Regions from separate parts of the Mus musculus genome. Here all the other regions are reported to be linked to region 3. Evidence: microRNA targets listed by miRTarBase, many of them from high-throughput screens and not tested one by one. Region 3 holds a microRNA gene; each other region holds the end of a gene's coding sequence.

Evidence for each region. The annotated mature microRNA mmu-miR-654-3p reads UAUGUCUGCUGACCAUCACCUU and lies in region 3 at 1,227-1,248, opposite strand. An mRNA with a match to its seed (bases 2 to 7 or 8) in the 3' UTR can be bound and repressed. Matches are read on the target gene's strand: a 7mer-m8 pairs with bases 2 to 8, a 7mer-A1 pairs with bases 2 to 7 and ends in A, and an 8mer does both.
Region 1: the mRNA of Lactb2 is a reported target of mmu-miR-654-3p. Seed matches in the 3' UTR shown: 7mer-m8 at 1,195-1,201.
Region 2: miRTarBase lists Crebzf as a target of mmu-miR-654-3p. Seed matches in the 3' UTR shown: 7mer-m8 at 1,218-1,224.

Annotation. Positions count from the first base shown.
Region 1 is chr1:13,623,355-13,627,597 of GRCm38, reverse strand. It overlaps Lactb2 (lactamase, beta 2), which reads left to right. Exons shown (of 7, transcript NM_145381.2): 6 at 161-242; 7 at 694-1,700. The coding sequence ends at 737. Among named protein-coding and RNA genes, the nearest start is that of Lactb2, 35 kb to the left of the region's middle.
Region 2 is chr7:90,443,220-90,447,462 of GRCm38, forward strand. Crebzf (CREB/ATF bZIP transcription factor) reads left to right here. Exons shown (of 1, transcript NM_145151.3): 1 at 1-4,243. The coding sequence ends at 872. Among named protein-coding and RNA genes, the nearest start is that of Crebzf, 2.6 kb to the left of the region's middle.
Region 3 is chr12:109,720,275-109,724,517 of GRCm38, reverse strand. It overlaps Mir654 (microRNA 654), which reads right to left and starts at 1,300; the gene lies at 1,217-1,300. Mir376c (microRNA 376c) reads right to left here and starts at 1,800; the gene lies at 1,715-1,800. Mir376b (microRNA 376b) reads right to left here and starts at 1,060; the gene lies at 979-1,060. Mir376a (microRNA 376a) reads right to left here and starts at 737; the gene lies at 670-737. It also overlaps Mir300.

The DNA.
Region 1 (4,243 bases), not on the chromosome of region 3:
TCCATGTGTGCTGCTCGCCCACTCCATGTGTGCTGCTCACCCACTTCATGTGTGCTGGAGGGGAACTTGGGTGTTGTGTGTGGTAGGAAAGCTGGAAAAGGCTCTAAACAATTAAGTATTCTTTAAAAATGGGACTCCTTTTATCCTGTTTTTCTTTCAGGATGTTCCAGAGAATTTACATAAGATGGCAGAGCATAATCTCTTGCTTCATTTGAGAAAACTAGAGAAAGATGGGAAGATATGTATGTATCCTTCTGAATATTAATGCCTTTTCTCCTGGCACTTAAACAGTTTTGCAGGAGCTCACCTGAAGTCTCCCTAAGTCTCCCATTCAGTGAAGTAGGTCCAAGTCCTCTGCCATAGAGACACACAGTGCCTGGGGGGACCAAGGGTACTGGCATGTGGAGAACAGGCACAGCTTTTAAGTGAAGTCAGAGATGGTAAAGTGGGAGTTCTGTAACTTTTTCCTGCTGATAGATGAGCTTGTCAAATCAGGCATTGTTATAAAAGTCTAGTCCTTAAAATCAAGAAGTGAGCCCAAGGTTGAATTTTGTGTAGAAGCCTCAGCCATATTGCTTACCTAGTCATCAACAAGATTCGCCTAAGGAAGGTGCACTTTTCCTTACTATAAAAAAATGTGGAATCCAGTGATGTACTTATCTCTTGTTTTTACTTTCTGTTTTTTTTTTCTAGTCTACACAACAACTCCTGTCAAGAAATGGAAAGCCGTCCTTTAGTTACAGATCAGTGAAGTTCTGTCTTGTTTTGCTTTTAGAAGATGGTATTTTCTTTTAGCTATAGATTATATATTTATAGAAAATATTAAATGCACAACTTTGAAAATAACCCTTGATACTTGTAATCCGTGATAATTGTAAAATATGTAAATTACATTTTATATCTGGAGGACAGGTTACTGATCTAACCTTGGTCTTGGAAGGTTTTACCAGAAATTCAGAATCTAGCACTTTTTCAATTTTCTATGGATTAAGTAAAGTGGTTATTAAGAATAATAGATTTTGAACAATTCAAACCAGTTAATACTTTAGAGTTTGATTGTTAGGGTTTCTATTGCTGTAAAAAACAAAAATGACTAAGGCAGCTCTTATAAAGGAAGACATTTAATTAGGGCTGGCTTACAGTTCAGAGATTCAGTCCAGTATCATCATGGTGGGAAGTATGGCAGCCTGCAGACAGACATGGTGCTGGAAAAGGAGCTGAGAGTTCTACATCTTGATCTGAAGGCAGCCAGAACAAGACTGTCTTCTGCAGGCAGCCTGGAGGAGGCTCTCCCAAGCCCACAGCGACACACTTCCTCCAACAAGGCCATACCTCCTAATAGTGCCACTCCCTATGGGCCAAGCATTCAAACACATGAGTCTATGGGGGCCGTTTCTATTCAAACCACCACAGTTATTTGTTAGCATTTGCCAGTAATACTGCTTTCTTTAGCTACTTCAATCAACAGCACACATATCTGCATACGCATTCCTTTTCTTCAGCCCTGTCAATGCCTTTTACATACCAAGTTTATTTCACTTTTCTATCAATTATATCATTTAAGTATTGTTTCTACAGTTCTATGCTATGTTTATTTTCTTGTAACGGTATCCCATAAGCAATTCATAAGTTGATCATTAACAAATACTAAATATACTAATTTAAAATATTATGTGATTAATAATAAGTAATTCTTAAAATTTTATTTTATGTGTATGAATATTTTGCCTACATGAGTATCTGTGCACTCCATGTGTGCAGTGTGCACAGAGGCCAGAAGGGGCACTGGATTCCCTGGAACTGCAGTTACAGGTGTTAGTCACCATGTGTGTCCACAGAATCAAACTGGGTCCTCTAGAAGAACAGCCATTGCTCAGAACTGCTGAGCCATCTCATCTCTCCAGCCCACGACAGCATGCTTTGCAATTTTAGATTTTAGTATAGAAATGGCCATCCGTTTATATATGAATTATATACTAGAAAGTGTTTTCTTTTAATTAGAAGATGGCAAGATAGTCTTTTAAATATATAAATAACATTCTCAAATAATGGTTAGAATAGTGGTACTGCATAGTAATTTCCTCCAAATTAAAACATTCCGTCCTGGAGGGAGACTCCTAAGACTCGGGAAGTAAATGAAACTTAATGGGGCTCAGGAAATAAATAACTCACAAGTCTTAAAAAGTTTCTGAAACTTAAATAATTCAGCAGGTCCCTCCCCAAGGTTATCTCGGCAATACTGATTGCTGGAGAGAAGAGACTTTAGCCTCCTGAGCTGTCTACAGGTAATAGAGGAGAGCTCCAGGAAGATGCCTTTCCTGAGGCAACACCTCCCCACCCCACCCCACCCGCTGAAGTGGGCTTTTCAGTGATGCATTTTTATGCAAGCTAAACACATTTTTTTCTTGTTCCATGTAAATATGTCATATACCCAGAAGTGTTCCATACTACAAAATAACTAAAAACTCAAGAATTAAAAGCCAGTGACCCAGATAACTCACAAATGGACAACAAATGTTTCTCCAAAGAAGATGCCTAAGAGAAAAACTGTTTCTCGGGCTAGAGAGATGGCTCCGCGGTTGAGAGCAATGACTGCTCTTCCAGAGGTCCTGAGTTCAATTTCCAGCAACCACATGGTGGCTCACAACCATCTGTAATGGGATCTGATGCCCTCTTCTGGTGTGTCTGAAGAGAGCAACAATGGATTCACATACATAAATTAAATAAATAATCTTTAAAAACAAAAAAAAAAACTGTTTCTCATCTTTAACCAATACAAAGCCAAACACAAATTGGAACAGGTTCCAGCTTCCTGCCCATTTGGATAACTGTTTTGTTGTTTTGTTTTGTTTTTTTTTTGTTTTTTCTGAAAATAAAAAGAGCAGCCACTGAGGTACAAAGAAACTGGGACCTTTACAATCAGTTGATAGAGCAGCTTCTGAAAGATAAAACAAACTCACAGTATGTCTGAGCAGTTCAGCTTCTGAGAACCATTCCCAAAGCCTGACTTAAGCAGGTATCTACAGGGCTGAAAGAAAAACACCTTAAAAACAGAGATGCCTGACAGATGTTGCATGGTGCATGAATTCCAAAGACACAGTGCTACATGAGATAAGACACCAAAGGCAAACATCAGGATTCCACTTACATGAAGCAGGAAAGTGTATAGAAGGAAAGAATTGTGAATGATTTGGAGGAAAAGGGACAGACTTACTCAAGTTTCAGTAAGAGTGTAAAAAGTTCTGGGCATGAATGGTGACACTGACCACAAAAACACTGTAAACCTGAAAGCATAGTCAGTGCCAAGTGGTGTCCCTAAAGTGATCAGTAATAACTGCCTTCCACAGTGCCACCACCAAAAACTAAAAAATGGTGACACATCAATAAAATTTATAGAATTTAGTTTCATTGGTAAATGAATAGATTAGCTTACCTCTTAGCTGCTCTTTCCCAGAGGGTTGAATACAAACACCATTCAGTTGATCAAATTAGAAAATTTTAAAGAAAAAATCCTTCTTGGTTTGTGTGCATCCCACATGTCCAAGTGGTCCCTATTCTACCTCCAGAGTTCATTACCCCTAGCCAGTCTTAGTCCTAGCCATCATCATCCCTTCTGAACCAGTGAAATGCCTGTTACCTCTTGTTGGGGAAGAAGATGAAAAGGACATTTTGAGCTAAAAATCTGTGAAAAGCCAGGTGGTGGCAGCACACGCCTTTAATCCCAGCACTCAGAGGCTGAGGCAGGCGGATCTCTTGAGTTAGAGGCCTGGTCAACAGAGCAAATTTCAGGACTTGAAACTTGAAAAAAAAAATTTTTTTTAATAAAAAGCCATGCAGTCGTCACATTGCCACAGCATACTTCAGATAGTGCACATTGCAAGTAGATCTTCTCAAAGGGGAAGGATGGGGAACTACTAAATCTATTAGTCATTTTAAAAGCCTAGCAACAGAGCTATAAAAGCTGTGACATCTATTAAATGCTTTTTACTGGGGACTGTGCCAGATACTGCAGCAACAAAGGTGAGCAAAACAACATCAGGGCTTGATCGAGCTCTTGTCCTTGTTATCAAGATGAGATATATATAGTTATGTTTGTTGAGAGTAAAGAAGAATGTGTAAGCCGGTGGTCTATAATAGGCTGCTGACAGAAACGTGAGCTCAGTCTTACAAAGAAAGTGGTAGCCAGAAGGAAATGCAGTATTTGTTTAAATGAGGAAAATTATTCCCATTGGAATAAACTGTA
Region 2 (4,243 bases), not on the chromosome of region 3:
GGAGCCGCGGCAGCGTGGCCGTGCGCGCGCCCGCGCCCTCGCCCCTGAAGATGGAGGAGGAGGAGGAGGACGCGATCGCCATGGTCCCCAAGGAAGAGCCGGAGGACATGGACTTTCTCTCCGGGCTGGAGCTGGCCGATCTGCTGGACCCTCGGCAACCGGACTGGCACCTGGAGCCCGGGCTCAGCTCGCCCGGGCCCCTGTCCTCGTCCGGCGGAGGCTCGGAGAGCGGCGGCCTGTTGAGGGGGGACGACGACGACGACACCGCGGCCGCCGAGATGCAGCGCTTCTCCGACTTGCTGCAGAGGCTGTTGAACGGCATCGGAGGCTGCAGCAGCGGCGGTGACCGCGGCGGCGGGGAGAAGAGGCGGAGAAAGTCCCCGGGAGCAGGAGGCGGTGGCGCCAACGACGGCAACCAGGCGGCGACCAAGAGTCCCCGGAAGGCGGCGGCGGCCGCTGCCCGTCTTAATCGGCTCAAGAAGAAGGAGTACGTGATGGGGCTGGAGAGTCGGGTCCGGGGACTGGCAGCCGAGAACCAGGAGCTGCGGGCCGAGAATCGGGAGCTGGGCAAGCGCGTGCAAGCACTGCAGGAGGAGAGTCGCTACCTACGGGCCGTCCTGGCCAACGAGACCGGACTAGCTCGCCTGCTGAGCCGACTGAGCGGCGTGGGACTGCGGCTGACCACCTCCCTCTTCAGAGACTCGCCCGCCGGCGACCACGACTACGCCCTGCCGGTGGGGAAGCAGCCGCCGGAGCCGCGGGAAGAGGACGACGCGGCGGGAGGAGTGTGTCTCCATGTGGACAAGGATAAGGTGTCGGTGGAGTTCTGCTCGGCGTGCGCTCGGAAGGCGTCGTCGTCTCTTAAAATGTAGGGTCAAGTAATCTGCTCTTTATCCGCGTTTACCCCTTTCTCCTCCCTTACACCATGTCAAACACCTTAGTGGGACATCGTCACCGGACGCATTTCAGAGGCGGAAAAAAAAGTAATATTAAATCTTTTAAGTGTTTAGCTAAAAGCATGAATGTGACACTGTAACCAACTCCTAATGATAACCTGTGACTATTAAATCTCTCTGACAGTTTCTTTTTTAGGTGATTTCCTTCCTGCCAGGCTCCGTTGTAGGGGTTACAGAGCAGTCGTTCCCGCCTCACAACCTGGTAAGGATCCATCTCTTCCCGTAACGCTCATGCTCGGCTGCTTAGGCTACTTTAATGGGCAGACATCTCAATGTGTGTGTGTGTGTGATATCTTTTTCTGTTTGTTTTTCTTTTTGAAAGGTGGTGGGAGGGGAATCTTAATTTGGGCCTTGTCCACCCTGGAAACAGACTTGTGCTGGTCATTAATGTACTTAAGTTGCTTCTGGTTGAAATAGCTGTTAAATGTGTCCCCTTGTTCAGAGTTGCGTGTACCTAGCTCTTCTGTCCCCAGTGTGGACATGGCCTTGGATGACATCGGTTCCAACTGTACACAGAAACCTGCTAATAGAGATACAGTTTGGAGACAGTCAAACAGGTGAAGTTGAATGGAAGTTCCGAGTTGTACAAGGTGCAAATTGGAATTCCAATTGTAGAGCAACTTTTCAGAGGTTGACAATAAGTATTGAGGCATGCGCAAATGTGGTATTTTTCTGGAGATGACAAGTCTCCTAAAATACTTAATGAATGCCTTATAGTTTTCAGTAGAAAATGCAGAAATACAGTCTATTTAAAGACCCTAATAGTTCACCACTTGAGAAGTTGGAAATTAACATACCCATCAGATTTCTGTGTTTTAATTAGAAGACGATAAATGAAATGTTTCTTTGAGGACCAGCACAGTAATTACTAATCAATGAGTATGAAGAAATTGTTGAAAGTATTTATTTTTGTTGTATTAAAATTTAGGCTAAATTTCTGTATGATTAGATATTGAAGGTTGTGAAATGTGAATGAAAACATGTAAAGTGAGGCTTCACAAAGAATCTTTTCTCCATATTTCTAAAACTTTTGTCCTATTTAAAAATACTTGTTTAAATTAATGAAATGATCGATACTGTTTTTCCAAAGACGGAAAAGTCTTTCCTTAAAATACTGTTTTTTTGTCCACTTGTCTTAAGTGTGTGTTCTGATGCTCTGAAATGCAAGAGACATTAAATTCTTTGTGAAACATCACTGTTTGATAAAGGATATACGTATTTAGCATCCTTGTTTTTCTTTGTGCTAAAGTGGATACAGCTGTTGGGGCAGAAGAGACGGGACCAGCTGCTGGCCACATTTCCTGCTTTATTTTAAAAGGTAGTATAAGAAATAAGGAAACAGAGGTAATATCAGGGCTTCTGCTGTCTTTTATTTTTAAAATGTTCATAATTAAGTATTTTCCAGCAGTCCAAAGATGTAAGTTATCCTACACGTAAGATGTTTTATTTTGTTACTTGGTTATGGAAATGGAATCTTGTTCTTGCACAACTGTAAATGTTTTGTTGCTAGATAATATGATTTTGAGACCTAAATTAGTCTCTGGTTTTTCAGTCTATCACATTTTGTAAAAATCTCTACTGCACTTGAGCATGAATGGGTAGTAGCCAAACTCACAACTTGGAGTGACGGACCTGCTTCTACAAGGGTAGGATACAAGCCCCACAATGCAGCTGCATGGATTTCAGTGCCTATGAATTATATATATATATATATACATAGATATAGAAACCAAAAGTAGTTGGAAATTTATTTGAAATGACTAATTTGTGCTCTTTCTGAAGTATGTTAAATGTAGCTTTTGAAACAGAAGCCTTGAATTGAAATTTAATACTTGAACATTTTTGTATATATTTCTTTGTATATAATTTTGTGCAGAACCAATGACAAACATATGGTGTCATAATAAAATCAGGTTTGTTGATCTTTCAGTTATGGGCTCAAAGAATTTATTCATCTCTAACATGATATTGGAAAGTAATGGATGAAAATAGGAAAAATGGTTGTTAATATAGACTTAATCGAAAGGTTCTGGAAGTAGTAAGTTTGTTTTCCTAAAAACTATACCATTTCTGTGGAATATTTTCTTAACCTCAGTGCTTTTCCTGCATTTGAAGTGTGGGCTTGGGGAAAATTAGTTTCTGAATTGGGATGTTTTGAAATTCCAAGTACAGAGTCTTAGGCTGTCATTTCATAAATGGCAGTTTGGAGAATTAGGAATTCTCAACAGTGGAAGATCAGAGTGTCCTGTTTTTAAAGCTGCTTTCTTAGGTTCCTTATGTCTTATTAACTGTGTTTTTGTTTCCATTTCATTGTTTTTTTCTAGTTTTGGTGACAGTGATTTTTGTCATTTTTTTTGCATCAACTCATGGTCTTGTTTTTACATGGTAACTGCATGTATGTAGGATCTATCAGGGGCTTTAAATAAATTTTGCTCATATTTATGTGTAAGCACATTTTACTGTAAATGTTTGGGTTTAATTTACAGCAGTTGTTTATTTCAGTGTGTAGTAAACAGTATCTAGAGTGTTCTGTTCACTACTTGTTAATTAAAAAAGTTATGATTAATATAAAACTGTTGTCTTACTATTTTTAGAAAACTTTTGTGAATAATTAGTATTTTGATAGAGAGTTCTGAAATACAAAATAGATTGCTTTGAAAATTTCAGGTTTGGGTGTATTTACTGTGATGTTGAGAACAATTTAGTATTTGGGGAACTGTTTCAGGTTTTATTCTTGATTTGTACCTGTGTAAAAATGATAGAAAACCTTAAAATGTAGCTTTTAAATACCTGTCTTCCTATGGTAGTTAATATTCATACATTAATTGACTAACACATATTGGCATAGTATTTCTATCATAGTAGCTTAAGTTTTTGTCCTTTTTTTAACCATACTTAAAAGTATGTTTGTTAAAAAATGTAGTCACACCTCTGATATATCCAACAAAGTATTCAAAATATTTTAAATATCTGTACATTTCATACTCGCTAAATTAATCTCTTTCTCTTCTCTTTAAACAGCTTAGCAGTATCTGCAAAAACGAATCTTTTCCTACAACCTGTTAACTGACTGGACTGATGGTAACAGTAATTGTGGGAGCCATGTCGGTCAAAAATTTGGCATCTGCTGAAAGACATGAATGCCATTTCCAAGGTCCCAAATTACTTCTATACTGATTACACTTTCCAGAAATGGAGATATGAAAAGATTCTCTGGAATGCTTGAAAGACTTAATAGAAACCCATGAGACTAAGTTAATTTTGGAACAAAATTACACCTCTTTTTT
Region 3 (4,243 bases):
GATCTGTAGGGTCAGACGAAGAAGGAGCTCAAGCTCGGTGGCCCACCATGCATTTACTTACCCTGGAGAGACCACACCCTTCTGCTAGGCCCAGGCCGCCGCCAGCCATGCTTCCAGGCAGCATTTGCTCCTCGAAGAGAGCTTGCCCTTGCATATTCATTTCGCGTAAAGCAAACACACAAAGGATAACCTCTCTTCAAGTAGCAAACGATAAGGAGCGCTGGGGAGAGCTGGTCCGGTGCGATGACAGATGCGATGACGGTCCGGATGTGAGCCTGAGGGGGCACATTTGGAGGTTACACTTCCAGATGATTCACATGCCCCCCCTTCTCCGCACACCCCCCAAAGGGTTACCCAAGGCGCCCTTACCCAAAATGATGGCCCACCCAGGAGCTCTCCAAGACATATCGCTACAGAAAAAAGAAGCCGACTCCAGAAAACATACACATGGTGAGCACACAGAGAAACAACTTCATTTGAGGTCAGAGAAGGGATATAAAGAACACAGTGGTCTCAGAACACATCACTGGGAGAGGCTGGCATATAGGCACACATCACACAAGTCACAAATCTATCTATCCCCGCCAAGCCCAGGAAGACGACGGATAGCACGCTTTCTTCGGTGAAGATGTCATGTCCTCGGTGGTTTCCCAAGCAGCATTTGATACTGAAAACGTGGATTTTCCTCTACGATTAGTCATTAATATTGTACTCATAGAAGGAGAATCTACCTTTTAAATATCAAAGAACAACTCGATCCAGGATGCTGTGAGCTTGTGCTTGTGTCGACAGAAATGGAAGTCCACTGGGCAGAGTGAGCAGGCTGCCCAAAGAGGCGGTATATCAGACCCAGATCAGACTAACACTCAGTTGGCTTCTTAAGGCCATTTCTGGCCACGCCCCACTCATTATTACATGATCTTCCCCCCCAGCCCCAGACCCTACAGAATCTTCCAGAAATAGTTCCAGAGCGACATTTGATACTGAAAAAGTGGATGTTCCTCTATGATTATCCAGGAAGCACGTAACCATAGAAGGAATATCCACCTTTTAAATACCAAAGAAGGACTGAGTTCCGGGAAGGACCAGGCTTGCTGCTTGGCTCATCTGAAACAGATTACAAGACAAAAAAAAAAAAAAAAATCCCCGCTTCTCAGGCAGAGGAAACAGAATGTTGAAAGGCGCCTCGGCCTCTGTGCCAAGCTGGCTCCACAGGCAGAGACCCAAAGGTGATGGTCAGCAGACATATGACATGAGAAACACACATGTTCTGCAGCTTACCATCTTCCCACTTACCGAGGAGGGCACTGCGCCCAGCCTCATCTCCCTGGTGGATCATGTCACCCAGGAAGCACATGAGACTCAAAACTCAGGCAAACCCATCAGATTGACCAGCAAACATAAAACCACAGAAGGGAAATCTACCTTTTAGATATCAGACTTAAACTCTTGGGACATCCAATAGGACAGTCCTATCTGCGACAGAAGGGACACAATGGGAAAGACTTGTTAGCTGTGGGGGATTCCAGAACGAGACCCCTGACCTCTGGCTGAGTTGGCAGCCCATGAGGGAAGCTCTCAAGATTGCTCATTGGCCCTTGGGCACCTGAGGACATGCTCTGTGGACCACTGACCCCCCACTTACCCAAGAGGGTGCACCTGTCCTGTCACTGCCCTGGTGGTGGCTTCAGCTCAGGCCCATTACCCAGCAGCATTTGACACTGAAAACGTGAAATTTCCTCTATGTTTAATCACAAAAAGCATAAACATAGAAGGAATATCCACCTTTTAAATACCAAAAGATTTAGTCCTGAAGAGAAAGAGCCGAGGCCTAATCCGTCAGAAATGAAGAAGGCAGCAGACAGGCGCCCTCGGCACAGCCCCCAGAGGACACAGATTCCAGGAACAACCTGGCTGTGGAAAGCACAGGCTGTGGAACCCATCTCTCCCTTTGTTCTCTGGGTGGGGGAAGACTGGAATAACCTGCTTTGTCCTAGGGGGCACTTTGTATTCAGAAACATCCCAGAACCACTTGAGATACTGAAAATGTGGGTGTTACCTCTATGATTAACCAGAGGCATAGAGGAGCACTCACCTTTTGAATATCAGAAAGTGAGCGACAGAAGTGTATCTAGAGCCCACCGTACAGTTAAACATAGCCCTGGTTGTCACACAGCCTAGTAGGGAGTTACTGTAAACCCCCACCCCCTCTTAGAGAGTTTATGACAAGAAATCTGTTCCCTTGTGATTTCCAAAACCAGTTCCACACCCATACAGCCCATCCTGGGTACCCTTGGGAGAGATGTCATCAAGGTGGCTGCTGGGGCATCCACGTAGGTGCCACGGAGCACTGGAGACATCAAGGAAGTTTTCTAGGAAATGGGCTAAGTCCAGAAGGCTCCAACACACAGGCTCAATGCATTAGTGTGACACTGTTGGGGATAGGTATAAAAGACACCTTGAGACATGGCTAAGCAGGACATTCATGACTTACTATCACCACACTACCAGGTCCTTACAAGATTAGCTCAAGTTCCTGTCCAATCTTTTTTGAGTACATCAGACACAGAGGCATACCAGTACCGACACTATAAATCTTTGGTTAAAAAAAAAAAAAAAAAAAAAAGCAAAGAAGGACTGAAAACCCCAACTCAGCTAATTAACTCCAACATCTTCGTCATCTTAGCCTTGAGGCCGAAGACAAGTAGGCCAGGTGATAGTCCCCACACATAGAACATATGCTCTGTGACCAGCCCTCCCATATATGTCCAAATAGTGGTGCTGTCATGGGTCATGTTTTAATAAAGTAGGAACTGGCCAGAGAGTTTCATAAAGCTGGGTAACCAAAGACAAGAGGACCCAAGGATGCTGAGGCCTCGCCCCAAAGAGCCAAGGCCCCTCCTTGTATCTACAGCTTGTTAAAGCAGAAAACCTCACAAACACCTTCAAGTGCATGGATAGGTCACTTACCAGTGGGCTACACCTGCTTCCTTTCATAGTGCCCTATGAGGCCAGGAGACCCTAGAAAGAAGCAGGACAGAATTCGTTAGGGGATCTGATAGCTGGTTACGGGAGCAAATGTGTTCATCTGTCCTGACCCTAGGAGCAGCAACGGCAAATGTAGCTGTGTGTGAACTGGGTCTGCTCTTTAGGAACAATGTCCAGCTACGTTTAGGTTCATGTGTGTGTGTGTGTGTGTGTGTGTGTGTGTGTGTGTGTGTGTGTGCGCGCGCGTGTGGTGGTGCCAGTATGCTTGCTTTGCCTATGTGTAGAGGTAGGAGATCAAGGTCTGTTGCCTTCTGTAGTCTCACTATCCATGCGTGCATGTGTATGCATGTGGGCACACCCAAGGAGGCAAGAAGAATACATCCCTAAAGCTAAACTTGTAGCCATCCAGTCTAGGTGCTGGGAACTGAACTATGGTCCTCTGCAAGAGCAACAGTTTTGAGCTGGTTATGGTAACATACCTTTGATGCCAGCGTTTGGAAGGCAGAGGCAAGCAGGAGTTCAAAGTCAGCCTCAGCTACCTAAGAAATTCAAAGGTATCCTGGGTTACAATGAAAACTTGCTACAAAAAAAATGTTATCGAAAATTGTTATATTAAATGAGTTATACAAAAAAATCAATATGGGTGCCACATATTCATAGAGATTCCCACCTTCATCTTGCTCTCATCATTTTTCATTTGATATTTGAGCTTGTCCGTTTGGTTAGATCCAGGCGAACCTGGGAAGGGCAGAGTATATTCTTTAAAATTCTCAAAATCTGAAATGCAGGCTAGACATGTTTTTGCTCAAATCTGTCAATCAATTAAGAAGGAAGCGATGTGATAGAAACTAGATTTTTATGTACAGATTTGCCTTGGGAAATTGGATTATAGGATGATTCATTCAATAAACTCTCAAGTCTCAAAATAAGAAAATAAATAAACAAAAGCACTTGCCATCTGGCCAGACATCTGCTCACATACCATCAGCAAGGGGCTGATGCCCACATCGTGTTCCTGAACCTGACACCGGGTACAGAGAGCCCTTCAAGGAGGGATTTTGTGCTCAAAAAGAGGTCAGCGTTTAATATCTTCCACGAACAAACACCATGATGTGGACACTGTCCCTTGGGGCCTCTTGGAACAGCTGCGGCAATCCTGCCCAGGCTTCTCCTGTGAAAAAGACAGCTGGTGAGGTATTGTGCCCAGAGAATATTCTACCCTCAAAGATGGAAGGCTCCCTCTGGGCCTATACGT